2 linked regions of the Stegostoma tigrinum genome follow. The protein of the gene in region 2 purifies or fractionates together with the protein of the main gene of each other region. This does not show direct contact. Links are inferred from orthologs where the notes say so. Each region holds a gene or a part of one and is shown on either strand. Other genes may lie near its edges. The genes, in order: cdk20 and foxj1b.

What was found.
Region 1: the proteins of foxj1b (region 2) and cdk20 purify together in Homo sapiens (affinity purification with mass spectrometry; 3 studies listed by BioGRID and IntAct, counting the BioPlex papers as one, with this or other methods). This does not show direct contact. The link is inferred for Stegostoma tigrinum from reciprocal best matches to the Homo sapiens genes FOXJ1 and CDK20.

What each region holds. Positions count from the first base shown.
Region 1 is NC_081402.1:3,299,014-3,314,445, forward strand, and holds the start of cdk20 (cyclin-dependent kinase 20), read right to left. Parts: upstream 6,348-15,432; 5' UTR 6,252-6,347; coding exon 6,177-6,251; intron 5,584-6,176; coding exon of another isoform or gene 5,433-5,583; intron 841-5,432; coding exon 727-840; intron 1-726. Other genes in the region: ras-related protein Rab-7a-like, read left to right, coding at 5,433-5,583, 10,613-10,695, 14,901-15,027. UniProt on the Homo sapiens protein: Required for high-level Shh responses in the developing neural tube.
Region 2 is NC_081376.1:5,684,062-5,698,913, reverse strand, and holds the start of foxj1b (forkhead box protein J1-B), read right to left. Parts: upstream 8,245-14,852; 5' UTR 8,231-8,244; coding exon 8,142-8,230; intron 7,905-8,141; coding exon 7,319-7,904; intron 1-7,318. UniProt on the Homo sapiens protein: Transcription factor specifically required for the formation of motile cilia. Acts by activating transcription of genes that mediate assembly of motile cilia, such as CFAP157.

The sequences.
Region 1 (15,432 bases), on a different chromosome or scaffold from region 2:
ATCCATGGACTGCATTTACACAGCTCACTGCCACAGAAAGGCAGCCAGCATCATCATAGACCCATCACACCCTGGTAATGATCTCCTACACCCTCTTCCATCAGGCAGATGGTACAGAAACCTGAACACATGCACCAACAGCTTCAGGAACAGCATCTTCCTGGCTGTTATTAGACTGATGGATGGACCTTCTAACCTCAAATGATGCTGATCTTGCCTAGCACACTCCGCCTCTGTCTAAGTCTTTTTGACCCGTACATCCTTGCTTACTAATGATCTGCCTGCATTGCTGGTAAACAAAGCTTTTCACTGTATTCTAGTACACAGGACAATCAATCAATCAATGTAAGGGCACAGTAAACACTCAGAAATGGAAACTCCAATCCTGAAGGTCCCCAGTTCTTGGCTCCCTAAACTTACAAACTTCGGATAGCAACTATGACGGAATGCAAATAAAGAACAGTGACAGCACGCAGTTAGACTAAGTAAAGCTCTCTACTTTTTTAGTTGGAAAATAAAGCTTTCTCCACACTGGCCTCTATCAAACACTCTCATGACAATGACAGCATCGGGTCAGAGACAGTGTTAAGCTCCCTTCGCACCACATCAAACACTGTCAGGACAGGGACAGCATGGGGTTAGATACAGTGTAATGCTACCTCTACAGCACCCCCTATGAAACACTCCTAGGGCAGGAACGTAAAGCTCTCGCTGATCCATACTCACGTATTGATTGTCCTCAATTTCCTGAAGAGCTTTAATCTCCCGCAGGGCCTGGTTCGGAATTCCATCCTCCAGTTTCCGCAGGGCAACTTTCTTGAGAGCAACTGTCTCTCCTGTCTAAAAGCACAAATAGAACAAACAGAAAATGTCTATATAAGCTCAGAGATAGTGGGAACTGCAGATGCTGGAGAATCCAAGATAATAAAATGTGAGGCTGGATGAACACAGCAGGCCAAGCAGCATCTCAGGAGCACAAAAGCTGACGTTTCGGGCCTAGACCCTTCATCAGATGAAGGGTCTAGGCCTGAAACGTCAGCTTTTGTGCTCCTGAGATGCTGCTTGGCCTGCTGTGTTCATCCAGCCTCACATTTTATTACCATGTCTATATAAGCTGTTGTGCTCACAGGGTGACAGCCGCACCTGGAACACAGTGAACAGTTTTAATCCCATTATGCAAGCAAAGAGAGACTGGCACTGGCACAGTCCAGAGAAGGTTGACTCAGCTGATTCCCAGGTATGAAGGGAATGTCTCATGACAAAAGGTTGAGTAGATTGGGCCTGTGTTCACTGGAGTTTAGAAGATTGATAGGGACCTTATAAAAACATACAGGATTGTGAGGGAATTTCACAGGGTAGATGCAGAAAGATTGTTTCTCCTTGTGGAAGAGTCTAGGACCAGAGGGAATAATCTCAGAAGGGGGTTGTACAATTAAGACAGAGATGAAAAGGATTTTTTTGTCCCTCAGAAGGTAGTGAATCTGTGGAATTCTTTACTGCAGTGGGCTGGGCCACTAAATATGTTCGAGGGTAAGATGGAAAGTTTTAATCAGTAATGGAATCTGAAGAGTCATTTGGATGAATGATTAATTGTTGTCGCATGTACCCAAGTACAGTGAAAAGTTTTGCGAGCAGGTCACAGCAAAGCAGGACATACAGATCATAGGGTGCTTAGACAGAGTGAGGTAGGCAAGGTTACGGCTGCAATCAAGTTGCATAAAAGCAAGGTCAACATTATTTGAAATTACGGATGGATTGTCTGAGTACCAAAGGTTCAACCAGTTGGCCTCTACTCACTGGAGTTTGGAAGAATGTCCTCAGTGTAACTTACAGAATTCTTTGAGGGTCTTGACAAGGCCATAGAGTCATACAGCACTAGAAACAGACCCTTTGGTCCAACCAGTCCATGCCAAACATAATCCCAAACTAAACTAGTCCCACCTGTCTCCTCCTTGGCCATATCGCTCTAAACCTTCCCTATTCATGTACTTATCCAAATGTCTTTTAAACGTTGTAATTGTACCCACATCCACTCACTCCACACACAAACCAGCCTCTATTTATACATTTTGCCCCCTTGTGTCTCGTTTAATCTCTCTCCTCTCACTTTAAAAGGTAGATGCTGAGAGGATTTTTCCCCTTAGGTCTAGGTCCAGAGGGCATAGTCTCAGAATAAAGGGGTGCCAGTTTAAGACTGTGACGGGGAGGAATATCTTCTAGTACCTAATACTGTACAACACAGGAAAGGGCCCTTCAGCCCACGATATTGAGTCAAACATCAAACACCAAATTAAACTAATTCCTTCTGCCTGCCATTGGTCCATATCCCTCCATTCCTTAAGTATTCATGTGCTTATCTAAAAGCCCCAATCATATCTGCCACCACCATCACCACTGGCAACACGTTCCAGACTCCCACTACTCTCAGTGTTTAAAAAAAAACCTGCCCCTCACATCTCCTTTGAACTTTCCCTCTCACCATAAATGCACGCTCCGAGTGTTAGTCATTTCAACTCTAGCAAAAAGATTCAGACTTCTATTGAGTCTCCTGTCAGCCTCTGCTGCTCAAGAGAAAACCACCCAAGTTTTTCTGGCCTCTCCTCGCAGCTCATACCCTCTAATCCAGGCAGCACTCTCTTTTTCACCCTCTCCTCGTAGCTCATACCCTCTAATCCAGGCAGCACTCTCTTTTTCACCCTCTCTTCGTAGCTCATACCCTCTAATCCAGGCAGCACTCTCTTTTTCACCCTCTCTTCGCAGCTCATACCCTCTAATCCAGGCAGCACTCTCTTTTTCACCCTCTCCTCGCAGCTCATACCCTCTAATCCAGGCAGCACTCTCTTTTTCACCCTCTCTTCGCAGCTCATACCCTCTAATCCAGGCAGCACTCTCTTTTTCACCCTCTCCTCGCAGCTCATACCCTTTAATCCAGGCAGCACTCTCTTTTTCACCCTCTCCTCGTAGCTCATACCCTCTAATCCAGGCAGCACTCTCTTTTTCACCCTCTCCTCGCAGCTCATACCCTTTAATCCAGGCAGCACTCTCTTTTTCACCCTCTCTTCGCAGCTCATACCCTCTAATCCAGGCAGCACTCTCTTTTTCACCCTCTCCTCGCAGCTCATACCCTCTAATCCAGGCAGCACTCTCTTTTTCACCCTCTCTTCGCAGCTCATACCCTCTAATCCAGGCAGCACTCTCTTTTTCACCCTCTCCTCGTAGCTCATACCCTCTAATCCAGGCAGCACTCTCTTTTTCACCCTCTCTTCGCAGCTCATACCCTCTAATCCAGGCAGCACTCTCTTTTTCACCCTCTCCTCGTAGCTCATACCCTCTAATCCAGGCAGCACTCTCTTTTTCACCCTCTCCTTGTAGCTCATACCCTCTAATCCAGGCAGCACTCTCTTTTTCACCCTCTCCTCGTAGCTCATACCCTCTAATCCAGGCAGCACTCTCTTTTTCACCCTCTCTTCGCAGCTCATACCCTCTAATCCAGGCAGCACTCTCTTTTTCACCCTCTCCTCGTAGCTCATACCCTCTAATCCAGGCAGCACTCTCTTTTTCACCCTCTCCTCGTAGCTCATACCCTCTAATCCAGGCAGCACTCTCTTTTTCACCCTCTCCTCGTAGCTCATACCCTCTAATCCAGGCAGCACTCTCTTTTTCACCCTCTCTTCGCAGCTCATACCCTCTAATCCAGGCAGCACTCTCTTTTTCACCCTCTCTTCGCAGCTCATACCCTCTAATCCAGGCAGCACTCTCTTTTTCACCCTCTCCTCGTAGCTCATACCCTCTAATCCAGGCAGCACTCTCTTTTTCACCCTCTCTTCGCAGCTCATACCCTCTAATCCAGGCAGCACTCTCTTTTTCACCCTCTCTTCGCAGCTCATACCCTCTAATCCAGGCAGCACTCTCTTTTTCACCCTCTCCTCGTAGCTCATACCCTCTAATCCAGGCAGCACTCTCTTTTTCACCCTCTCCTCGTAGCTCATACCCTCTAATCCAGGCAGCACTCTCTTTTTCACCCTCTCCTCGTAGCTCATACCCTCTAATCCAGGCAGCACTCTCTTTTTCACCCTCTCTTCGCAGCTCATACCCTCTAATCCAGGCAGCACTCTCTTTTTCACCCTCTCCTCGCAGCTCATACCCTTTAATCCAGGCAGCACTCTCTTTTTCACCCTCTCCTCGCAGCTCATACCCTCTAATCCAGGCAGCACTCTCTTTTTCACCCTCTCCTCGTAGCTCATACCCTCTAATCCAGGCAGCACTCTCTTTTTCACCCTCTCCTCGTAGCTCATACCCTCTAATCCAGGCAGCACTCTCTTTTTCACCCTCTCTTCGCAGCTCATACCCTCTAATCCAGGCAGCACTCTCTTTTTCACCCTCTCCTCGCAGCTCATACCCTTTAATCCAGGCAGCACTCTCTTTTTCACCCTCTCCTCGCAGCTCATACCCTCTAATCCAGGCAGCACTCTCTTTTTCACCCTCTCCTCGTAGCTCATACCCTCTAATCCAGGCAGCACTCTCTTTTTCACCCTCTCCTCGTAGCTCATACCCTCTAATCCAGGCAGCACTCTCTTTTTCACCCTCTCTTCGCAGCTCATACCCTCTAATCCAGGCAGCACTCTCTTTTTCACCCTCTCCTCGTAGCTCATACCCTCTAATCCAGGCAGCACTCTCTTTTTCACCCTCTCCTCGTAGCTCATACCCTCTAATCCAGGCAGCACTCTCTTTTTCACCCTCTCCTCGTAGCTCATACCCTCTAATCCAGGCAGCACTCTCTTTTTCACCCTCTCCTCGTAGCTCATACCCTCTAATCCAGGCAGCACTCTCTTTTTCACCCTCTCTTCGCAGCTCATACCCTTTAATCCAGGCAGCACTCTCTTTTTCACCCTCTCTTCGCAGCTCATACCCTCTAATCCAGGCAGCACTCTCTTTTTCACCCTCTCCTCGCAGCTCATACCCTCTAATCCAGGCAGCACTCTCTTTTTCACCCTCTCTTCGCAGCTCATACCCTTTAATCCAGGCAGCACTCTCTTTTTCACCCTCTCTTCGCAGCTCATACCCTCTAATCCAGGCAGCACTCTCTTTTTCACCCTCTCTTCGCAGCTCATACCCTTTAATCCAGGCAGCACTCTCTTTTTCACCCTCTCTTCGCAGCTCATACCCTTTAATCCAGGCAGCACTCTCTTTTTCACCCTCTCCAAAGCCACTTCAGAGGAAATAACCCTGGCTTTTCCAGATTAAAAAAAAACCTATAGAACTGCGGATGTTGTAAATCAGGAACAAACTTGCCCCTCACGTCCCCCCCTTGAACTTTCCCACTCTCATCTTAAATGCATTTCAACTCTGGGAAGAAGATTCAGACTTCTGACACTCCTGAGGAAGGGTCACCGGACCCGAAAGGTTAACTCTGATTCTTTTCTTCTTCACAGAAGCTGCCAGACCCGCCGAGCTTTTCCAGCAACTGCTCGTTTTGTTGCAGGTTTTTCCGATATCTCCTCATGGCTCGTTCTGGGAGGGTTGAGAGTCTTTGGATTTCCCCAGGGCCAGTGGAGTCCAAAACTGGAGGGGCACAGGTTGAAGGTGAGAGAGGGGGAAAGATTTAAAAGGGACCTGAGGGGCAACGTTTTCATTCAGAGGGCGGTGCGTGTGTGGCATGAGCTGCCAGAGGAAGTGTTGGAGGCTGGTACAGTTACATTTAAAAGGCATCTGGATGGGTCCATGAATAGGAAGGATTTAGTGGGATATGGGCCAAACGCTGGCACATGGGGCTCGATTAATTCTGGACATTTGGTTGGCACAGGTTGGACCCAAGGGTCTGTTTCCTCGCTGACCTGCTTGCCACAGAGAGCTGTTGGGGGGGACCGGGTCCCGGCGTATATTGAAGGCCGAGACAGATTCATGGTGGGCCGGGGAATGGAAGGGACATCAGGAATATTGGGGCCAGCAGGCTGGAGGGGCCGAACGGTCCCCGGACATCATGAACCTCCTGATCCTATGTCTCATGGAAGGTGGGGATAGAGACAGGAGGCGAGAGACCGCATGTGAGGATAGTCAGGAAAGGCACGATGTCAGCGGTGGGATAGAATGGAGCCAACGGGCCGAATGGTCTCGGGGTCTGGTCCCTGGCTCAGGAGGGTGGGTGTCAAATACTGGGAGGGGTGGGCGGGCCGCACCTCGATATGCTTAGCCTTGAACACGATTCCGTGTGCCCCCTCCCCGACCCGGCCAAGGATGTTGTACTGCTCCATGGCTCAACCCCGCGGAGCCCGGCGGCTTGCGGCTGAAGCCTGCGGGTTAGGCCGCGGGGTCGCCAGGGCAACGGGGGCGGTGCGACGTCATCCTCCCTTACGGCCGCCGTACTTAGGCGTGATGTCATCGCGCACGACCCCATCCGCCGAGGGCAACCACGCCCACTACCGCGCGGAAATGTCACCGCCCCCTTAAAGGGACAGTCCATGGAACGAAGGCAGACTGATGGGGCTTCCTGGAGGTGGCCTGTTGAACCTGCCCCATTCCCTCCGCTCTTCATGAGTGTATGTCGTGGAGGTCCCCAAGGTCATCATAACCCTGCCACCTAGGTATTCTAATCCCATTAGGGGCTGGACGGGGTTACAGGGATAGGGAGAAGGTGACAGGGGTGGGGAGGAGGTATACGGGACTGGAGGAGGTGAAAGAGATAGGGAGGGGATAGAGGGGACTGGAGGAGGGGATAGAGGGAGGGAGGGGATATAGGGGATTGGAGGAAGGGAAAGAGATAGGGAGGGGATATAGGGGACTGGAGGAGGTGAAAGAGGGAGGGAGAGGGGGAGGGGATATAGGGGACTAGAGGAGGGGAAAGCGATAGGGAGGGGATATAGCAGACTGGAGGAGGGGATATAGGGGACTGGAGGAGGGGAAAGCGATAGGGAGGGGATATAGCGGACTGGAGGAAGGGAAAGAGATACGGAGGAGGGGATATAGGGGACTGGAGGAGGGGAAAGAGATACGGAGGAGGGGATATAGGGGACTGGAGGAGGGGAAAGAGATACGGAGGAGGGGATATAGGGGACTGGAGGAGGGGAAAGAGATACGGAGGAGGGGATATTGGGGACTGGAGGAGGGGAAAGAGATACGGAGGAGGGGATATAGGGGACTGGAGGAGGGGAAAGAGATACGGAGGAGGGGATATAGGGGACTGGAGGAGGGGAAAGAGATACGGAGGAGGGGATATAGGGGACTGGAGGAGGGGAAAGAGATACGGAGGAGGGGATATAGGGGACTGGAGGAGGGGAAAGAGGGAGGGAGAGAGGGAGGGGATATAGGGGACTGGAGGAGGGGAAAGCGATAGGGAGGGGATATAGCGGACTGGAGGAGGGGAAAGAGATACGGAGGAGGGGATATAGGGGACTGGAGGAGGGGAAAGAGATACGGAGGAGGGGATATAGGGGACTGGAGGAGGGGAAAGAGGGAGGGAGAGAGGGAGGGGATATAGGGGACTGGAGGAGGGGAAAGAGATAGGAAGGGGATATAGCGCAGTGGAGGAGGGGAAAGAGATCGGGAGGAGGGGATATAGGGGACTGGAGGAGGGGAAAGAGGGAGGGAGAGAGGGAGGGGATATAGGGGACTGGAAGAGGGGAGGGAGATGGGGAGGGGATATAGGGGACTGGAGGAGGGGAAAGAGGGAGGGAGAGAGGGAGGGGATATAGGGGACTGGAGGAGGGGAGGGAGATGGGGAGGGGATATAGGGGTCTGGAGGAGGGGAGGGAGATGGGGAGGGGATATAGGGGTCTGGAGGAGGGGAGGGAGATGGGGAGGGGATATAGGGGTCTGGAGGAGGGGAGGGAGATGGGGAGGGGATATAGGGGACGGGAGGGGGCCGGAGAGTTTGGGATGCGGCGCGGTTTGCAGAGACACTGAGAGAAGGAGCCCGCACTGTGTTGGTTTAACTGGCCCTTTCCCAGTGAATGGGTTTGTCGCCGGTGCAGACCCAGTGACAGTCGCAGAGCGATCCCAGAAAGGAGGCACGTCTGTCGCTGTCTCCCCCGCCCCCATGAGGCCGGAGAACTTCAGAAACAGACCTGGGGAGTGTCGAACAAGAAGAAAACCTCCCTCCCAGAAGCTGGGAGCTGGTGAGCTCCAGCGGGGAACTGGATTTGACAAAACACGGAAGTGGCAATTACTTCCCTGAAAACTTTGGTTAACTTGAGAGTAAAGTTGGGGATTGAAAGGCGATAAATTTGCTTTGTACCTGCGACAGGGTGGGTAAGGTGTGAATATCCCTCTTCCCCCATTTGGTTTGTTTCATATGTCAAACAAAAGAAAAACTTTGTCAGATTCCCGACAATTGACAGGCCCCGGGGTTTTGCTTAGTCTTTCACTGTCTGTCTCTCAGCCCCGAGGTGAGAGGCCGGTTCTTGTCCATTTAGTTGAGTTTTGATTCGGAGAGAGATTGGGTAGCGGGGCAATGTTTACCTGCATTTTATAATTCACTGAGATTGGGTCCTGCCTGTGACAAGAGGATTGTACCCGCAGCTCAGTTTGTCTGATGCTGCAATTCAAACGTCCGCAGGGACGTGAATTTAACGCATTTTGCGCACATTTGCGCCACAAAGTGTTTACTTACAAATGTTTCTGTCTCCTACTAAATCAGTGTGTAATTACTGCGAGTGATGAGAATGCAATGAGGAGGCGATGTCAAGTAGTGTTGTCGCTAAGCGTTAACCCCACAGTCAGGTAACGTTCCCGGAACCCCAATTCGAATCCCACATTAAGAATAGATCTTGACCGTGGAAGCAGTGTAAAGACCCATCTGGTTCACCAATCTCCTTTAGAAAGGATTGTCAGTGCTAAGGGAGCGGGCACTGTCGGAGGGTCAGCGCTGAGGGAGCGCCGCACTGTCGGAGGGTCAGTGCTGAGGGAGTGGGCACTGTCGGAGGGTCAGTGCTGAGGGAGCGGGCACTGTCAGAGGGTCAGTGCTTAGGGAGCGGGCACTGTCAGAGGGTCAGTGCTGAGGGAGCGGGCACTGTCGGAGGGTCAGTGCTAAGGGAGCGGGCACTGTCGGAGGGTCAGCGCTGAGGGAGCGGGCACTGTCGGAGGGTCAGTGCTGAGGGAGCGGGCACTGTCGGAGGGTCAGTGCTGAGGGAGCGGGCACTGTCGGAGGGTCAGTGCTGAGGGAGCGGGCACTGTCGGAGGGTCAGCGCTGAGGGAGCGCCGCACTGTCGGAGGGTCAGTGCTGAGGGAGCGGGCACTGTCGGAGGGTCAGTGCTGAGGGAGCGGGCACTGTCGGAGGGTCAGTGCTGAGGGAGCGGGCGCTGTTGGAGGGTCAGCGCTGAGGGAGCGGGCGCTGTCGGAGGGTCAGCGCTGAGGGAGCGCCGCACTGTCGGAGGGTCAGTGCTGAGGGAGTGGGCACTGTCAGAGGGTCAGTGCTTAGGGAGCGGGCGCTGTCAGAGGGTCAGCGCTGAGAGAGCGCCGCACTGTCGGAGGGTCAGTGCTGAGGGAGCGGGCACTGTCAGAGGGTCAGTGCTGAGGGAGTGCTGCACTGTCAGAGGGTCAGTGCTGAGGGAGCGGGCGCTGTCAGAGGGTCAGCGCTGAGAGAGCGCCGCACTGTCGGAGGGTCAGTGCTGAGGGAGCAGGCACTGTCAGAGGGTCAGTGCTGAGGGAGTGCTGCACTGTCAGAGGGTCAGTGCTGAGGGAGCGGGCGCTGTCAGAGGGTCAGCGCTGAGAGAGCGCCGCACTGTCAGAGGGTCAGTGCTGAGGAAGTGGGCGCTGTCAGAGGGTCAGCGCTGATGAAGCGGGCGCTGTCGGAGGGTCAGTGCTGAGGAAGTGGGCGCTGTCAGAGGGTCAGCGCTGATGAAGCGGGCACAGTCGGAGGGTCAGTGCTGAGGGAGCGGGCACTGTCAGAGGGTCAGTGCTGAGGAAGTGGGCGCTGTCGGAGGGTCAGTGCTGAGGGAGTGGACACTGTCAGTGGGTCAGCGCTGAGGGAGCGGGCACTGTTGGAGGGTCAGCACTGAGGGAGCGGGCACTGTTGGAGGGTCAGCACTGAGGGAGGGGGCACTGTTGGAGGGTCATCTTATAAGGGTGAAGCCCACTTCAGGAAAGTTGTCTGCCATGAAGGGGGTTTGTGACACTTTGAGTTTGAGAAAATCTCTGGATAAGTAGATCCTTGTTGCCTTCCTGGAACATTCTGATTTTTTTCCAAATGAAAATGCCTATATACGGCAGTCCCAATTTCCACGTGGATACCTTAAATGAGTAAAACCCATTTTATTTTCTCTGTGTTCTTTTGTGGGATGTGGGTGTTGTGGGTCAGAACAATATTTGTTGCCTGTTGCTAATCAACGTGAGGCTGGAGTCATGTGTAGGCCCAGATGGGGTGAGGGTGGCACATTTCCCTGCCTCCATCGACTTTTGTGAACCTGATGGATTTGTACATGAATTGACATTCTTTGTCATGGTTCGGACTAGCTCTCAGTTCCTGGTTTTATGAATTGAATTTAAATTCTCCCGGGGCCATGGTGGGATTTGAATCCGTGTCTCCCTGCAGCATGACTGTCGTGACTTTACCATTTTATCCCATTGAACAAACCAGTCCTGTTATTCCTGGTAACATGTGCCCCATTCTCTGTTTCAGAACCCTGCCGTCTCCCCACTGGATATTGCTGAATCAATGACGAAGCCTGTTCACCTGAAGGTTGTCCTTCTGGGCGATTCTGGGTAGGATGAACCAAATAGACTGCTTCCGCACTGTAGCGGTTCTTTGATTACTGTCCTGTAGGGTGGGGGGGTCCCCTTTTATTTGTGACCCCTTCCTCCCCCACCCTGTCACTACACCTGCACAGACTGGGAGTCACCAACACCCTGTATCTTGGGTGATCATCTGCCAGCTATTTGCTGAGCAGTCCCAGTTGCATGAGTAACTCCCCTGAACAAACCATTTAAGACAATCGGTCAAACCCCTTTTTGGAATTAACCAGGAGTCTGAGCAACCTGTAGGCCTATCCCTGGCAATGCTGCATGCAATTACAAAGGTCTTGCTTCTCATGAAATTTAAATTCTTAAGCATGTCCTGATGATGTCTGTGTTTACAGCAAGGTTCTTGTGTGTTACAAAGTGATTATTTAGTGTGTGCTACTTTTATTCAGTAACATGCCATGTGTTATAACAGGTTAGTGTAGCACCCTTACCATACTTCTGGGCCCCTAATTGATTATAGGAGTGTGGATTGAGCCCCAAGCCACACACACGAGATTTCAGGGAAAAGTGACCAAAACCTCAGCCAGGTTTGTCTTCAAGGATCATCATAAAGTTGCGGACAAGAGAAAGGAAGAGTCAGGGAGCTTTAGGGAAGCCTAAAAGCCCTCCGGTTCTTCCTGTCCCCCAGGCCTGACCAGTTCCCCTCCGTTGACACCCTCATCCGCCTAGTTGAACTCAACCTCACCCTCAACAACTTCTCTTTTGATTTCTCCCACTTCCTACAGACAAAGTGGGTGGCCATGGGTACCCACATGGGCCCAAGCTATGCCTGCCTCTTTTTAGGTTATGTGGAACAATCCCCCTGCCGTACCTACACAGGCCCTAAACCCCACCTTTGCCTCCGTTACATGGATGACTGTATTGGCTCCGCCTCGTGCTCCCACGAGGAGCTCGAACAGTTCATCCACTTCACCAACACCTTCCACCACAACCTCAAGTTCACCTGGACCTCTCTGATACCTCTTTCTCCTTCCTGGACCTCTCTGTCACCGTCTCTGGTAACCTTGAAACTGATATCTATTTCAAGCCCACCGACTCACACAGCTACCTAGAATACGCCTCCTCTCACCCACCTTCCTGCAAAAATGTGATCCCCTATTCCCAATTCCTTCGCCTCCGCTGCATCTGCTCCCAAGATGAGGCGTTCCACTCCCGGACATCCCAGATGTCCTCATTTTTCAAGGACCGTAATTCCCCCCAGCGCCATCCCATTGGTCGAAACTGCCCTCAACTGCATCTCTTCTGTTTCCTGCACCTCAGCTCTCAGACCCACTCTCCACAATAAAAACAAAGACACAATCTCCCATGTCCTCACGTATCACCCATTAACCCCTGGATTCAACGCATCATTCTCTGCCACTTCGGCCACCTGCAATCTGACCCCACTAAGAAGGGTATACTTCCCTCCCTACCCTTATCTGCCTTCTGGAGGAACCACTCTCTTCACGACTTGCTCATCCACCCCATACTCCCCAGCAGCCCCACCACCCCCAGCATCTTTTCCTGCAACCACAGGAGGTGCTACACCTGCCGTTACACCTCACCCTTCACCTCTATCCGAGGCTCCAAGAAAACCTTCCACATTCACCTGCACATCATCAACGTGGTCTATTGTGTCTGCTGTTGCCAATGTGGCCTCCTCTACATTGGCGAGACCAAGCGGAGGCTCGGAGACCGTTTTGTGGAACACCCACACTCCGTTCGCAATAAAGACAACACTTCCCAGTTGTGAACCACTTCAACTCCCCCTCCCACTCCCTGGGCGACATGTCCATCCTAGGCCTCCTCCAGTGCAACAACGATGCCACCCAAAAACTGGAAGAACAGCACCTCATATTCTGCTGGATAGCCTATAACCCAATGTACTTCATTAGTTTCAAAATCTCCTCACCCTCTGACCTGATCCCAAACCATTACCCCCCCTCTCATCCCCGCCTCCTTCATCTATCCATCTTCCCTCCCACCTGTCCACTCCTCCCTCCTCACTGACCAACCCCCATTCCAATTTCATACCTACACTCACCTTTATAGCTTCATCCGTGTCTCCTTGACCTGTCCGTCTTCTCTCCCATGTATCTGCTCCACAATCCACCTTCTATCACCGCGCCCCCTCCCCATTTATTTCAGAGCCCTGTCTGTTACCCCCCTCTAGCCCCTTCCCCTTTTCTGAAGAAGGGTCTAGACCCAAAATGTCAGCTTCCTGCTCGCCCTGCTGTGTTCATCCAGCTCCACACCTTGTTATCTCAGATTCCAGCATCGGCAGTTCCTGCTGTCCCCAGGTTTAGGGAGGGCTGTATTCCAAATTTGATGTGGAGGTGCCAATGTTGGACTGGGGTGGACAAGGTCAGAAATCACTCAACAGCAGGTTATAGTCCAACAGGTTTATTCAAAAACACAAGCTTTCCAAGCACTGCACCTTCTTCAGATGTTAGTGAGAGAGGCAATATCAGACACAGAATTTATCAGTACAAGATCAAAGGCTCACACCACTGATGAGGATGTATTAAATAACCCTAAGATGCTGTTAAATCTTTAATCAGTTTGAGGGTTTTAATTGATCAGTATGTGTATGTAAATCCCTGAGTTTGTTTTAAGTTACAGTCCTGAGAGAACTAAAGGTTTTACCATTGTAAAGAAGAGACGGGACTTTAGGTCAGACAATAACGTTAGGTGTGAGACCCAGTTCTGAGGAAGGGCCACTGGACCCGAAATGTTAACTCTGTTTTCTCCTCCACAGATGCTGCCAGACCTGCTGAGCTTTTCCAGCAACTTTGTTTTTGTCCGATGTATAGACCTTGTTTAGAATCTGTTTGTGTTTCGGTTTGGAGTCAGACTGGTTTTATTTTTAAAGTAGGAATTTGTAGAACATCACATTGACTGACTGTCTGTACATTGTGTGCTTTTTGAACAAAATATATCTGCAAATACAAATTGACCCCATACACACACTCACCTCTTCCGCCCCTGCCACGTGCGCGCACACGCACCCTGTCTGACTTCAAACCAAAACACAAACAGATTCTAAACAAGGTCTATACATCGGACAAAAACAAAGTTGCTGGAAAAGCACAGCAGGTCTGGCAGCATCTGTGGAGGAGTAAACAGAGTTAACATTTCGGGTCCAGTGGCCCTTCCTCAGAACTGGGTCTCACACCTAACGTTATTGTCTGACCTAAAGTCCCGTCTCTTCTTTACAATGGTAAAACCTTTAGTTCTCTCAGGACTGTAACTTAAAACAAACTCAGGGATTTACATACACATATTGATCAATTAAAACCCTCAAACTGATTAAAGATTTAACAGCATCTTAGGGTTGTTTAATACATCCTCGTCAGTGGCGTGGGCCTTTGATCTTGTACTGATAAATTCTGTGTCTGATATTGCCTCTCTCACTAACATCTGAAGGGCTGAGGCTCCAAAAGTTTGTTCTCAAATAAACCCGTTGGACTATAATACCTGCTTTCATGCGATTTCTGACTGTATTCTACATAGGGAGGGTGTAGGAGCTGGAGGGGGTGACAGAGATAGGGTGGGGGGCACGAAAGGGGCTGGTGGAGGTGATAGGGCAGGGGTGTCGGGGCTGGAGGAGGCGACAGGGAGGGATGTAGGCGGCTGGAGGGGGTGACAGAGTCAGGGAGGGAGTGTAAGGGGCTGGAAAAAAATGGATGAGGAGAGTGTCGCCAGCGAACATGGGGTGACTGGTGATTGGGACTCTAATGTCAGGACTGGACACAATCCTCCAGGCAGAGGCTGAATCCTTTTCCCCCCAGCATTGTGGAGTCCAAAACTAGAGGGCATAGGCTTAAGGTGTGAGGCGAAAGATTTAAAAGGGACCTGAGGGGCAGCGGTTTCACGCAGAGGATGGTGTGTGTATGGAATGACCTGCCAGAGAATGTGGTCGACGCAGGTACAGTTGCAACATTTAAAAGAAGTTTGGACAGGTACCTGTATCGGAAAGGTTTAGAAGGAAATGGGACACGTTTGGTTTGGGAAACCTGTACGACATGGACGAGTTGGTCCGAAGGCTCGGTTTCCATACTGTTGTAACATCCGCAGGCTGTGGCAGGAAATGACGAGCCAGCACAGATAATTGGGCCAAATGGCCTCTCGCTGTGCTGTGGTACTTCTCTGATGCAGTCGGTGACCCTGTCCTTGGCCTGTTTCAGGGTGGGGAAATCATCCCTCATGAACCAATACGTGAACAAGCATTACACCAATCAGTACAAGGCGACTATTGGAGCGGATTTCCTCAACCGTAACATCACTGTCGACGGCAAAAATGTGTGTTTGCAGGTTCGTAACAGCAAGAGACACTTACCGCCCCCCACCCCATCTGTCCCTGACCCCCACCACAGCCACAGCTCAGGCACAACTGCCAATGGGAGAGCCACAGGATCCAGGGGTTGCTGGAAAAGCTCCCCAGGTCTGGCAGCATCGTCCTCAAAACTCAGGCACCGGACCCGAAACATCAATGCGGAGTTTTTTTTCTTCGCTGATACTGCCAGACCTGCTGAGCTTTTCCAGCAACTTCTGTTTTTGTTCCTGATTTGCGGCATCCGCAGTTCTCTTGGTTCTTTTATAAACAGGACTCAGGGGTTGCTTGAGAGGCAGGAACTGAAGGAGCAGAGAGATCTCAGTGGTGGGGGAGGGGGGGGCACGGTGGTCAGAGGAGATGACAGAGATAAGGTTGGTTGTAGG
Region 2 (14,852 bases):
TGGTGTTCTGCAGAGTTCAACACAGAGTTCCATCTGCACATCTCAATAACTTAAGACTAAACAAAAGGTTTGCAGGCGATATGAAAACTGTCCACATGGGCGATGCAAGCTGCAGACTGCAGGAAGATATGGACCGGTCAGGAATGTGACAAAATCAATTCGGAGAATTGAGAGATCATGCATTTGGAGAGGTCAGAGAAGGAAGAGAATAACACTCATAAAATGTAGGATACTGAGATATGTGCAGAAATACGGACAACTCAGAGTGCAAATCTGCAGATCCCTGAACATGGGAGACAGGTGATCTAGAATTTCCTTTATTAGCTGAGTCACAGAGTATGAGAACAGGCAGGATATGCTAGAACAATAGGAAGTGCAGGGCTCCAGGGATCGAGTGGAGAAAATGAGATTGACCAGATTCCTTTGTACCGACTAGATGGGTCAAATGACTTTCTTCTCTGCCATAAATGACTCTAAGATAACAAATGCTCAAGAACAGATTGTACACCAACCATGTTGGAGATCTTCCATTGCTACATAGATGTATACCAGGAGTATCATGACATTTAAACATATGTTCCAATAATTTTCATAGCTGTGAAGTTGCTTATAGTCATGGATCTTGCTGCTGTGATGTAGGATTTATCCATCAGTGAGCCAATAATATGAAGAAAAAACATTTCGAAACTTCAGTGTCCTGGAAATTCTAACAGGACAAAATCAACACAAGCAAAAAATCTTTTCTTCTCTGCAACCCATCCTCCAAAGCTACACCACCCCATAACTTTGCTCCAACCCTCTACCAACTCCTCCATTCCCATTCCTCCACTCCAATATCTTTCCATATCCCTCTATTCCCTTCCACCTGATCCAAATCATTCTATTGTTTGCCCAACCACTCAGCTTTATGTGAATCATGCTGGGTAGTATCACAGGCATTAATGAAACAGACCCCTGGAACACTGGAAGTGGATATCACTAGATTAGAATGGGAACTGGAGAAATTAGCTTCTTCATGCTTTTAACTCATGAAGGTAACTCCACTGTACAGTAACATGGTCAAAAGGAAATCACACGTTTTCTGCTATTTTCATAGAGAACTGGCCAATAGGAGAATGCTTCACAAAATGTTCAGCCTAGTCTGTGTTGAGTTGATTAATGTTAACTAAATTCATTCATGGGATGTAGTTGGCACTGGCCAGGCCAGCATTTATTGCTCATCCCTAAATGCCCATGGGGCAGTAAAGGGTCAACCACATTGCTTTGAGTCCGGAGTCACATGTAGGCCAAACCAGATAAGGATGGTAGTTTCCTTCCCTAAAGGACATCAGTGAACCAGATGGGTTTTTACAATAATGGACACAAGGTCATCATTACGCCAGCTTTTCATTCTACATTTTTATTGAATTCAAAGCTCACCAGCTGCCACGGTGGCACTTGAACTCCTGTTGCCAGAACAATTAGCCTGTGATTCCGGATTACCACCCCAGTGGTATTATTACTCTGCCTACACCTCCACTTGAATGGAGATCATAATGTTAGCTTAGTGCCTTTCCAAAGGAGTTAAAAAGCCAGGAGTTGCAATCCTGACAGCCAGCCAATCATTTACACTTCCCCTGTCTTCATCTACAGCCAGGGTTGGACGGTTTCAGCTGATCAACTCTCCTGATCCTACAGAGTTTTACACATAAATAATGGGCACTTGTGTATAGTGTTAAAAGCTAATCAACCTCAAAAGGAACCATACCCCCTCCATAGAATCCCTACAGTGTGGAAGCAGGCTATTTAGTCCATCGAGTCCACACTGAAAATCCAACCACTATTCCACTACCCTATCCCTATAACCCTGCATTCTCCTATGGTTAATCCATCTAACCTGCACATCTTTGGACTGTGGGAGGAAACCAGAGCCACGCGGAGGAAACCCATGCTGACACGGGGAGAATGTGCAAACTCCACACAGACAGTCGTCCGAGGGTGGAATCGAACTCAGGTCCCTGGCACTGTGAGGCTGCAGTGCTAACCACTGAGCCATGAAACAAGAGACTGCAGGGGAGTGGGAAACTTGTTGGGCCTGGGGTTGGGGGTATATCCTTGTGAAAAACAAACAAAAGGAAGTATTTGGTATAACGCAAAAATCACTTGAAACAGCCTGAAAGGCATTAAATGGTCAGTGCTGGCAGAGTGTCTTTAAAATAAGCCAGTCATTTGTACAGTCTCACGTCTTTGAATAACTTTCTCCATTAAAAGATAATAACGCCTGCTGAGATTCGTACTCATAGCTCTTTTCATCCTTCGCTCCACCAAAATATAATTGGTGTCCTGTCAAAAGCAGTGATGCTGGAGGGACGCTGTTCTGGAACCATTTAATGTGTTGTTCAGATCTACCAAAACTCAACCAACAAGCAGGTTACAGCAGAGTAAGTTGAAACGCAAAATCACAACTGGAATAAGTCCAGCTCTAGATACATATGCATGACATTGACGATGCTGCTTACCCATGCTGTTTCAGGCTGTTAAATTACCATCCAGCAGGATGGCTGCCAGGCTTTCAAATTCAGATTGCACAAACAGAAATGATCAGAAATATTAAAACAGCAAGCAGAGCTTCAGATTATTGAAAGATTACCCTAGAAATATTTAACAAATGTTATGGGAGCAGCAGAATTGAAGTTATCTTCTGGATGCTATAAAATTTCCAGATGCTTACTTTACTGATGCAGACAATGAGGCAGAGTGTTTGAGCACTGATGCATGAACTATAGCCAGACGTGAATCAAATTCAATAAAAGTTCTGTCAAAACACAAGAGATCAAACAAGAAGCTCCAACATGATTTCTTAGCAACTATCCCTTAGTAATAGGAGACTCTCAATCGGGGATAGGTGCAATTATGGCCTGTAAAATAAAATCTGGATCAAATCCAACAGGCCAAGCAGCATCAGAGGAGCAGGAAGGCTGACGTTTCGGGCCGAGGCCCTTCTTCAGAAATGAAATTTCCTCCGATGCTGCTTGGCCTGCTGTGTTCATCCAGCTCTACACCTTGTTATATCAGATTCTCCAGCATCTGCAGTTCCTGCTATCTTTGGATCAAATCCAGACTGCTTAAATCACAATATTTCCCTTCTTTAGTGAGAATCAAGGCAAATACTTCATTTGGTTTTTAATTAATTTGATCTAAAAGTTACATTGCAATGTTCAACTTTCAATTCATTCTCAGCCATTTTACAACTGAGAGTTCCTGATTTGGACAACCATTGAAAACCAAGTGGTCCTTTATGAGCTGCCATCTTTCTATATAGTCCACTAAAGAATGAAGCTTCTTCACACTCTTCATCCAAATGTCAATGAGATTTGATTGGTAACGTTAATGCTGATAAACAAGGAAGGTACAATATTTAGAATTGGGAGTACAGGGAAATGGATATCTTTCAGGTAAGAAAGTTCTCTTGTTGCTTCCTAACCTGAGGCCTCTAGCCTTTGATTGGGAAATAACTACAGGAGAATGTGCCTATATTCAAGGACCAAGCAGGTTGCTACAATACAAAAGGTACACTCTCCTCAACATCATTTCACATGTCGCAAGCTCTATTACTATTGTGTAACTGGAAGGGTGGAGAGCAATATAATTAAGGATGTAAGTAATGAATCATAAGGAGGTTGTCCTTGCAAGTATGGCTAATTTCATTGCTGTCTACATTTGTTGTTAGCTACCTGAAGCTGAGCTGATTTTGATAATATAGATCTTACATATAATTTTTATTCTATGCAAATTAATCATGATGTTGTGCACAGCGCAGAGAGAATGCCACAGTTAATACCATAGGTTTGTCTTCGTGTGATAATTTATTTTGACAACTCACAAGCAATTTTAAAACATCAGTAATTTAACATGGAAGAGAATTCCTCTTAACTTTTCTGTCAAAATGGACAAAGCAAAAGCTAATGAGCATTGACACTTCTTGTGTGAATTACAGAACACCTACAGTGTGGGAACTGGTCATTCAGTCCACACTGATTATCCAAAGAGTATTCTACCCAGGCCCACCTCCCTACCCTATCTATATAACTCTGCATTGCCCATGGCCAATCCACCTAACCTGCACATCTTTGGACTGTGGGAGGAACCAGAGCACGTGGAGGAAACACACACACAGACACAGGGGAGAATGTGCAAACTCCATGCAGAGAGTCACCCAAGGCTGGAATCGAACCCAGGTCCCTAGTGCTGTGAGGCAGCAGTGCTAACCACTATGTTACTGTATAAGTAACTTGCTATGGTAATTTTTATGCTAAGCCAAAACAAAGGAAAATGAGAATCAGGAATTCTGCAGAATTAATAGGAATACATACCAGCCCAGTTGCTCTGCGCCAGTGTTTATAATCTATCCAAGCCTCCTCCTACCTTACCTCCCTTAACCATATCATCCCAAACCTCTATTCTCTATTTTAATGGAGTTCTTTGATGAGAGAATGGGTGGTTGGATGGTGAGGATAAAGCAGGAGGTGTAGGCGTTTGCAGTCATTCAAACAGAAAGGGCAAATACAGCAAGGCACAAACCTGGCTAATCAGCAGCCAGAACTGCTGAATGGTCATCTTCAAACCGGACAGATGTGCACAGTGGTATTCTCTAAGCGTCAATTTAGTAATCGCTTTTTGAGGCACATTCATGATCTGAGTGAACTTGGATATAGGGGGCTTCATTTTAAAGTTTGCAAATGACTGGAAACTTGAAGATGTGGTAAACAATGGAGTGTACAGTATCAAACATCAGCCTGGTGAAACGTGCAGACAGGGTGGCAGATGAAATATAGCAGAACAAAGTGTGAAGTGACGCATTTTCTCGAAGTTTTGGGAGAGACAAGGGAAACTAAATGATATAATTTTAAAGGGAACACAAGACAGAGTGACTTGGGGATATACATAGATAAATATTTGAAGGTAGCCACTCATGTCGAAAGACTGTTAAAAGCACATGCTGGATATGATAGAGATATAGAGAACAAAAGCAGGAAGGTTACACTAAATCTTCATAAGATACTGGCTAGGCTCCACTAGGGCACTGGGGCCAATTCTGCAAAGTCAAAGTCTTGGAGATAGTGATTTTCTAGAATGGCATCAGGAATGCAGGACTTCAGTTATCTGTTAGCAGTTGGCACCAGGACTAGGGGGCACAGGATTAATGCTTGGGTAAAATACACTAAGGGTTGTGAGAAATAACTTCCCACTTGCCAGGGAGGTGGATGCAGAGACGATGAACAATCTCAATGGTAAATTGAATGGGTACTTGTGGGAAATCAACTCAAAGTTGACTGGGTAAATCAACAGAAAGTCAGCATTGAGCTTGATGGGCCCTCTGCTAGAGTGACTCCAAGACTCAGACACGAAGATTCAAAACTCAAAAGCAATGGTTCTCCTCAGAGCTGAGGAGGTGAAAGGGAGGTTTAATCGAGGGGTTCACAGTCACAAAGGTTCCTAACAGTGTGAATGTGGAGAAATTATTCCCTGTTGCATAACGATCAGGAACCAGAGAGGATACAAATCAAAACTAACTGGATAAGAGAAGAGAGAGGACAACCTGGGGAAGAAAACCGGAAGGAGTTCTGGTCTGGAATGCACTGCCTGAAAGCCCGATGGACGCAAACTGAACAATAACCAGCAAGAAGGAGCTGGGTTAAACCTGGAAAAAATAAAATATTGTTTAACTACGATGAAAAAAGGTCTGAAATTTAGTCTAACTGGATAGATGTAACCAGGGATTGGCACAGCTCTGCTGTGCTGAATGGTCTCCATCTGCACTGTGTTATTCAATGCTGCTATTTCATTTTCCCCATGTGTTTACCTTGGTTTTCCCTCAGAATGCATCCAAGCTCCTCACGTCAACTATTCACCAGTGACTCGCATATTCTGACCAGTCTCGGGATAAAGAGCTTTCTGTTGAATTCTTCATTGAGTCTGTTGTCGACTGTCTAAAGTACTCTATCAGTCTGGGGAGTACGAATCTTACAGGACTCTGGATGACTGGTTTCCCAATTGGTTCTGTTTAAGGAAGATGAGTGCACCTTTTCCGGTACTGGTCAAGATCCCAAAAGATAAATTTTCACACTCTCATCACCAAAGTGGGAATGAAAGGTGATACAGTCCCTGTCTGGCTGACCAATCAGTTAAGTCAGCACTTGATAAATAGAACGACACCACGCTGAAATCTTGCTCCCCCTACTGCCTTTTCTTGGAGAAAGATTGCCAACTATTCCACTGTCATTATTTCACATTCTACAATTAGTCAAAAAAGTGCAAAAATAATTCCAAACACAAAAATGCACATTGAGTAACATATCGATGCGTCACATTTGGTGGCTTGCCTGCAAGAAAACAAATATCTTGCCTTCAATTCTTTGTTGTGTGAAGTAATTCTTTAAACTGAATCCCGCTGACTGTACCAAACAAGCTGATGTATACTGGGCTAGGGAGCTAAGACATACTCAAGTAAGAATCTTGCTCCAGAAACTGGAAAACTGGCTTGCACAGCAGTGTCTGTGCAGTATTCCTTGGCCAGCAAGTTTACAGAATATATCCAAGTTGCTTTCTGTGCAGTGAGAGGATAGCATCCACAGCAGCAGGGCTGCAGAGATGCGGTTCAGCTCTCTCCTGGCTTTGGGAGGACCTCAGCTAACGTTAAGGAGAGGCTGAAACCCCAGACCGAAACTCAGACTGCACTTCCCATTGATGCCACCATTCCCCTGCCCCACTGTAATTCAGCTTAAAAAGGTACAGAGAGAGGAGATGGCATTTTAGAGATAATACTGATGATACGCCAATTACTGTTCAAACATGCAGGGGTGCAGAAGAGGATTACCAAGATGTTACTGAGGTTGGAGGGTTTGAGTTATAAGGAGAGGCTGGGACATTTTTCACTGGAGTGTCGGAGGCTGAGGGGTGACCTTATAAATTACGAGGGGCATGGATAAGGTGAATAGTCAAGGACCTTCCCCTAGGGTAGGGGAGCCCCAGATTAACGGACATACGTTTAAGGTGAGAGGGGAAAGATTTAAAAGGGACCTGAGCAGTAACCTGTTCACGCAGAGGGTTGCCAGAGGAGGCTCCCACAATAACACATGTGAAAGATATTTGGACAGGTACACAAACAGGAAAGGTGTAGAGGGATATGGGCTAAATGGGACTATTTAGTCAGAAAAACTGGTCAGATTGGATGAGTTGGGCCGAAGGGTCTGTTTCCTGTGTCTCTAAGTACAAGTCAGTAAAGAATTCAACAGTGGAGAGTCTGAAGCTGCAAGACTGTGTTAGCTTGACCACCTACCTGCCAGCTGGGGTCAGCGTGCTTATAGTAGCAGAAGTTGTCGGTGATCCAGTTATAAATGGCAGACAGGGTGATTTTACTCTTCTTGCTGGCTTGCATGGCCATGCAGATAAGCGTGGCGTAGGAGTAGGGTGGTTTGACATGGGGGTTTGTCTTGTAGTCAACATCCTCTGCTGGGCTCTGGGAAGGAGGCTGAGCCTGAATCAAGGTCTTGGTGCCAGCCACAGCCGAGGTGGTCTTGCCCAGGCCAGCTGGCACACCACTGGCAGCGGTATCGCCAGCTGGAGGTGAAGCAGGGGAGTCTGAGCCGGGTGTGTGCTGCTGCTTACAGTGATGCTGGGCACCAGCAGGCTTCTCCAGGTTGGCACTGAGGATGGAGAAATCCTGCAGCCACTGAAGGCTGGTCAGACTGTCGTCCAGGTTTACAGCACCGTTCACGTTATCTTGATCATCCGGGTGCAGCATCATCCAGTTCTCCTTGAATTTCGTGGCGATTTCTGGAGAAGTCAGAACGGGCATTCTCTCTCGCTCAACCGGCAACGCTTCCCGTCGCTTGCAGCGCGGAATCGAAACTTTCTTGGCAAGGCTGAGGGAGTGAAATAAAAACGCAGGATTATTAACACGCTGAATGCAAAAGTGCTGCATTTTTCAGGGTGCAGTGCAAAAATAAAGTCAGATTCTTTCTTTTAACAAAAAAAAGAACTTGCTCAGTTTTGCACTGACGGAGACCCAGGCAATACGACGCAGTTGCTCCGTGTTACAAACAGACTGAAACCGACAAAATGCAGCAGGAAGGAGGGGGGTTAAAATGAGAATCATTAACCTCGCATTGCTTTTGACATCCTCAATCATGACCTCTCCCCTCACAGAGCTCTCCAAATATTCCGAACACCTCTCCAAAACCAGCTGCATTGTTTGTTTGTTTGTTTTCCCGAAAGCTGCAAATATAATATACTTCTGCCGCTCTATGGAACCTGTTGCGTTTCAGATTCTCTCACCTGACCCTCCGAAGAAATCCTGGCGGGTACAGTAACTCCCTCACTGAAAGACCAGGCTCCGTTTTATTCTGCTTCCAGACACACTCCGGCAGCCTGGGGTAAGGGGAGGGGAGGGTGGGCGGGGGCGAAAGCTGGAATCGAACTGGGGTCTGGCTGCAGGCTAGCAATGTGCGCTACTCCTCAGCGCTGGCTTCACATCTAACGCCGTGTGCACGATAGGCTAGGCTGATCCCTTCATTCCCACCCGCCCCCCCCCCCCTCTCGGCTACTCGGTCGCCTTTAAACAGATCCCAAGCAGATGATTGGGCACCCGTCTCCAGGTCTCACCTTTCACTGCTCTCCCAATGAGGAAAGGCAGAGAGAGCTGCAACTCGAGATAGAGAGAGAGTTTCCAAACACACACACAAAACCCCTGTCCCTCTCCCTCAGACAGACACACACACAGCCCCTGTCCCTCTCCCTCAGACACACATACAGAACCCCTGTCCCTCTCCCTCAGACACACACAGAGCCCCTTGTCCCTCTCCCTCAGACAGACACACACACAGCCCCTGTCCCTCTCCCTCAGACAAAGAGCCCCTGTCCCTCTCCCTCAGACACACATACAGAACCCCTGTCCCTCTCCCTCAGACACAGAGCCCCTGTCCCTCTCCCTCAGACACACACAGAGCCCCTGTCCCTCTCCCTCAGACACACACAGAGCCCCTTGTCCCTCGCCCTCAGACAGACACACACACAGCCCCTGTCCCTCTCCCTCAGACAAAGAGCCCCTGTCCCTCTCCCTCAGACACACACAGAGCCCCTGTCCCTCTCCCTCAGACACTCACAGAGCCCCAGTCCCGCTCCCTCAGACACACACAGAGCCCCTGTCTCTCTCTGTCAGACACACACAGAGCCCCTGTCTCTCTCTGTCAGACACACACAGAGCCCCTGTCCCTCTCTCCTTCAGACACACACAGAACCCCAGTCCCTCTCCCTCTGACACACACAGAGCCCCAGTTCCTCTCCCTCTGAATCACACAGAGCCCCAGTCCCTCTCCCTCTGACACACACTGAGCTCATGTCCTGCTCCCTCAGAGACACAGCCAGTGCCTTACAGATACTCGCTATCCACACAACCATGGGGGAGGTCTCAATTCAATTTGACTCATAGCGATCGAGAATATACAGTTCGATACTGCAGCAAAGATTGCTGTTGTAATAAACATATAATAATCTCCCAGTTCTAGAACATCCTTGAGCGTAGAAAGATATAAACTAGGAGCAGGACTGGGCTATGGGGCCTTTTGACACTGATTATTATGGCTGATCATCCAACTTTCGTTTATTTATTCACAGGAAATGGTCATTACTGGCAGCATTTATTGCCCATCCCTAATTGCCCAGAGGGCAGTTAAGAGTCAACCACACTGCTGTGGGTCTGGATTCACATGTAGGCCAGACCAGGTAAGGATGGCAGTTTCCCTCCCTAAAGGACACTAGTGAACCAGATGGGTTTTTCCAACAGTCAGATTCATGGTCAACATTAGAATCTTAATCCTGGATTTTTATTGAAGTCAAACTTCACCATCTGCTGCTGTGGGATTCAAACCCAGGTCCCCAGAATGTCACCCAAGTTTCTGGATTAACAGTTCAGTGTTAATACCAGTAGGCCATTATCTTCCCTATAAACACAGCCCCTGCACACCACCCCCCTCTCCTTTCTACCCCATACCCTTTGATCCCTTTAGCCCTAAGAAACATATCTAATTCCTTCTTGAAACATTCCATGTTTTGAACTCAACCGCTTTCTGTGGCAGCAAATTCCACAGGCTCCCCACTCACTGGGTGAAGCCATTTCTCCTCATCTCAGTCTGATGTGGCACACCTTGCATCCTTCGACTTTGACCCCGTAGTTCTGCATTCCTGTGTCATCAGGATCCCTCCTTCCTTTCTGCCTAGTCCTGTCAGAATTTTATAGGTTTCTATGAGAACGCCCTCCCACCCCATTCTTCTAAACCTCAGTGAATATAGCCCTAGTCAATTCAGTCACTCTTCATAGTCTCCCTTCCTAGCCTTTGGGTGACTCCAGGCCCATTGCATTAGGATTGACTCTTGGCTGCCCTCTGCTGGAAACTTCTACTGACCTTGCCCCTGCGATGCCCATTAAACGAACAAAGGAAAAGGGAAGCCTCTGAAAACCAAATGAGCTGACCACTCCATTACACATGACCAGCCAACTGATCTGCTCTTGACTTGTGTTCCAGTTCAGGGTACTCCCAACCAACTTTACAATACCCACAAACTGTTCTTTCCCATCTACAGATTTCCAGCCCAAATACCGACCGCATCAAATATTATCCCTAAACCAATTCCTGCATCATAGTCAAAGTTCCCAAATTCCCAGGCTTCCAGGTCACAGGCTATTGGTATGTCATTTCAGACTGAGATGAGGAGAAATGTCTTCACCAAATGAATAGTGACCGTGTGAAATTTTCTGCCACAGAAAGCACTTGAGGCCAAAACAATAAATGATTTCAAGAAGGAGCTGGGTATAGTTTAAAAGGATCAAAGTGTATGGGGCAAAACTGGGAAGTGACTTGGATGATCTGCCATGAATGGTGTAGTAGACCTGAAGGGCCAAATGGCCTACTGCTGCTGCTATTTTTATGTTTGTAAGTAAGCCAGCTTGTTATTCAAGGCTTTGTTATTCCAGTGGGATTGCTCATTGGATTAGGTCCGAGAGTAAGGACTTGATTTGCTTCTTACTTTCTTGAGGAAGAATACAAATGGGAGACGCTCCTTGGAAATTTGACACAATCAAAAAGAAATCCTATTATATATCTGAAACCTCTTCCATTCCAGGAAGGTATGAGTAAGATCTGCGTTTCCCAGATGTCAGGAATGTTAAAATAAAATAGGTTTCTTAACAAAGCAGACACCCAGCACTAGTCCAATACAGCTGTGAAATTAATCTCAAATGAAAGAGGATTATTTTTCATTTTGAATAAAATTTCATAAAATACATTTGGATAATGTGATAAAATAAATGTAACATGCTGGAATTCTATAATAATATTTTAATTGTGCAACATTTTAACTTTGATCAAAATTGTTCCAAAGATTTGAAGAATTTTAGACATTGCCTGCATTTTACAGCTTTCTCTATTTAATGATAATGTTTAAATGTTACAATGTTTAAACAAGTTTTTACTATTCCAAGCCTCTCTTCCTCATGTCAGCTACAATATTTGTAACAAAATATTAAAATGCTAGTGAGCCACTTTATTTCTCTGCTCTTGAGTTTGCCCAATAACAACCAACGTGACAATTTGCTGTAAGTAATTCTGGTTTTAAAAAGGGGTAAAAGGATCAGCTGAAGGGGCAGTGAAATGGAACTTTATTTTTTCTGTGAGGAGGAAGTTAAAAGCTTCACAAATCATTTTGATTACAGTTTACATCACACATAAACAACTGAAAAACAGCAGAAATTATTTCACGAAAATACTCGTGTGTCAAATGAAAAGGTGATGGATAGCCTTCATCTATTTTTATCAAGACTTTTTACGTTTATGTCAGATTAACCAGTTCCACACTTCAAAAGGAATTTCCAGAAAATGTCACCTGTCTTGTTATTTGAAATGTAACTTGCTGATGCAGGAACTGTAACACTGACTATGCTGCCACCTTCTGGGAATAATATATAATATCAGGTCACCGAACAAACACTGAAGAGGGTGAGTTTTGCTCAGTTGATGGAATCCTGGGGGCCTGAACAATTAAAATTATTGAGATCCTTAACAAAGCTTTCATCTTATTCTACCAAGCACCACAAAACTCTCTGGGTTGGCAAGGGTTTCAATGTAGATATTTTTAACAACATTGTATTACATGTACATCACACCTCTGGAGCAGGTAGGCTATTGACAGTACAGCCAAGCCATGTGCGCACTTCATAAATTGACAATTTTAACTTAACTCTGAGCATGGAAGACACTGCAGATGATCTGGCTCTGAAAAAACATAAAGAAACCAGCTTTCGGCCTTCCCTTCTCTGCAGGAGCCAGGCAGAGTTCTCCATGTGGATAAGGAACATTGCAGTGTTCCTATCTTAGACATTGTTGCCTCTCCCAGCATGCCCCGTCCTGCTCCTGACCAAGTGCCAGTCACCATCCAAGACCCACCTGCTCTTCCCAGAGTGATGCATGGTCTTGAATCTGGAACGGACAGGTTGTTTCACACTGCAGCTTTGACAAAATAATTTAGGCTAAAATATTAGTCAAAGGTTTGTGCAATTATTTGGTCTGTTTATGCTTGTCACCTTTTGTTATCCTTGTGCCATTTGATGGTCCCTTGTGGCATCTTAAATATTAATTTAGATTGTTTAATTATGGTTTGTATTTATTCCATGGTTTGTTGGTCAATGCGGGGATTTAAGAGAAGTCACCTCCAGAATAAATCAAGAACTAATGACCGGACATCAAACAAAAAATTGAATGTTGACCTTTGTTGACAAAAATTCTGTCTAATTAAAAGATCTAGGCCCAAACTGTCAACTTTTCTGCTCCTAAGATGCTGCTTGGCCTGTTGTCTTCACCCAGCACCACACTTCGTTATCTTAAATGTTTTACACAGTCACTTGCTGGGACAGAATGATAATCTTGCTTAAAGAAGTGTTGCCTAAGCTTTTCATTGTGCACACGCATCAGGACAAGTACGAGAAAGCCAAACCAAGACAAAGATTTTAACCACAAGAGAAATGGTCAGCTGATTGGTTGGCAAATTGACTCTCATTGGTTGACGTGTTGCCATGAAGAACTCAATGGAAACAAAAGCACCCGGTGCATTATGTCTGTTGTCGAAAGACAGTGGCCACTCACCAAACACCAGAAACTGCAGCTCCACAATTCCAGACCCAATACATCACCACCTCACTTTTACAATATGACAGCAGAGGCCACACCATGCTCACACAGAGAAGAAACACAACATTGGAATGGGGAGATTGCACGGGGAGAGTGAGGATGTGAACTGGGGACAGGAAGGGGTAATGAGGGATGTGAGGCAGAGACGAGGGGGAGTGAGGGATGTGAAGCAGGGAGGAAAGGGAGTGAGGGGCGTGGGGCAGGGAGGAGTGGGAGTGAGGGACGTGGGACGGGGAAGAGGGGGAGTGAGGGACGTGGGACGGGGAGGAGGGGCAGTGAGGGACGTGGGGCGGGGAGGAGGGGCAGTGAGGGACGTGGGGCGGGGAGGAGGGGCAGTGAGGGACGTGGGGCGGGGAGGAGAATTGGCGGGAGAAGGAGCAGCAAGGACGTGGAATGGAGGAATAGAGTGAAAGCAAAGGAGGGATATTTAGGAAAGGTGACGGGGAGGATGGGATGTCAGTCACTTCCAGCAAACATGAGTTTCAGAGATAGTAGGAACTGTAGATTATGAGCTTGACTGATTATCTGAAATGGATTTTTAATGCAGCTCTCATCACAATCAGGATAGATTCGTATGTGCTGCCCAGTCAAAGAATCTAACAGTAGGCTTCTTAGAGATAGTTGAACGCTGCAGCCCAATGGTATCAAATGTGGACTTTACAAGCTTCAAAATCTCCCCTCCCCGCCATTGTATCCCAAAACGAGCCCAGCTCATCCCCGCCTCCCAAACTTGTCCTTCCTTCCACCTATCCCCTCCTCCTACCTCAAGCTCCACCCCCACCTCCTACCTACTAACCTCATCCCACCCCCTTGACCTCTCCGTCCTCCCTGGACTGACCTAGCCCCTCCCTAACGCCCCACCTACACTCACCTTTACTGGCTCCATCCCCGCCTCTTTGACCTGTCTGTCTCCTCTCCACTTATCTTCTCCTCTATCTATCTTCTATCCACCTCCCCCTCTCTCCATATTTATTTCAGAACCCCCTTTCTCCTCCCCCATTTCTGAAGAAGGGTCTAGACCCAAAACGTCAGCTTTCCTGCTCCTCTGATGCCGCTTGGCCTGCTGTGTTCAGGAAGGCCAATTTTTATTTTACTCTGGGCACAGCGGATGGATGGGGAATGAATGTTAGTTAGTCTTCTGCGAGAGCAAATTAATTCGTCCCTCATGCAAACATTTTCTCTCCATGTCCATATCCAACTCCCCTTTGTCAATCTAGCCTTCTGCACCCACCCCCACCCCCCCAGGCAGAGCATTCCAGATTCTAACCACTGGCTAAAGAAATCATTTCCTGTTCCAGGCTTTGGACTTCCCTCAATACACAAAGTTTGACTTCGGAGTGAAGTGAGCAGCTGAGGCATCTCAGTGTATGAGTGAGTCTGCACCACAAGGTGAAGGTGTACTTACTGCCATAAATGTAAGTGTAGGTGGGAATGTCATTTAACAACACCTCGAACCATAGCAACATGCCATTCCTACAATGTCATGTCGAATGTAACCTCAGCTTCAAGAAAGACAGATTTGAAACTTGTGAATTTATTAGCTAAAAATGCAAAGTTTTGATAAAGGTATGGATAAGAGATAAAATGTGAAGTAAGAGCAGTCCGTTATTGATGCAGGCATGTTACTCGCTT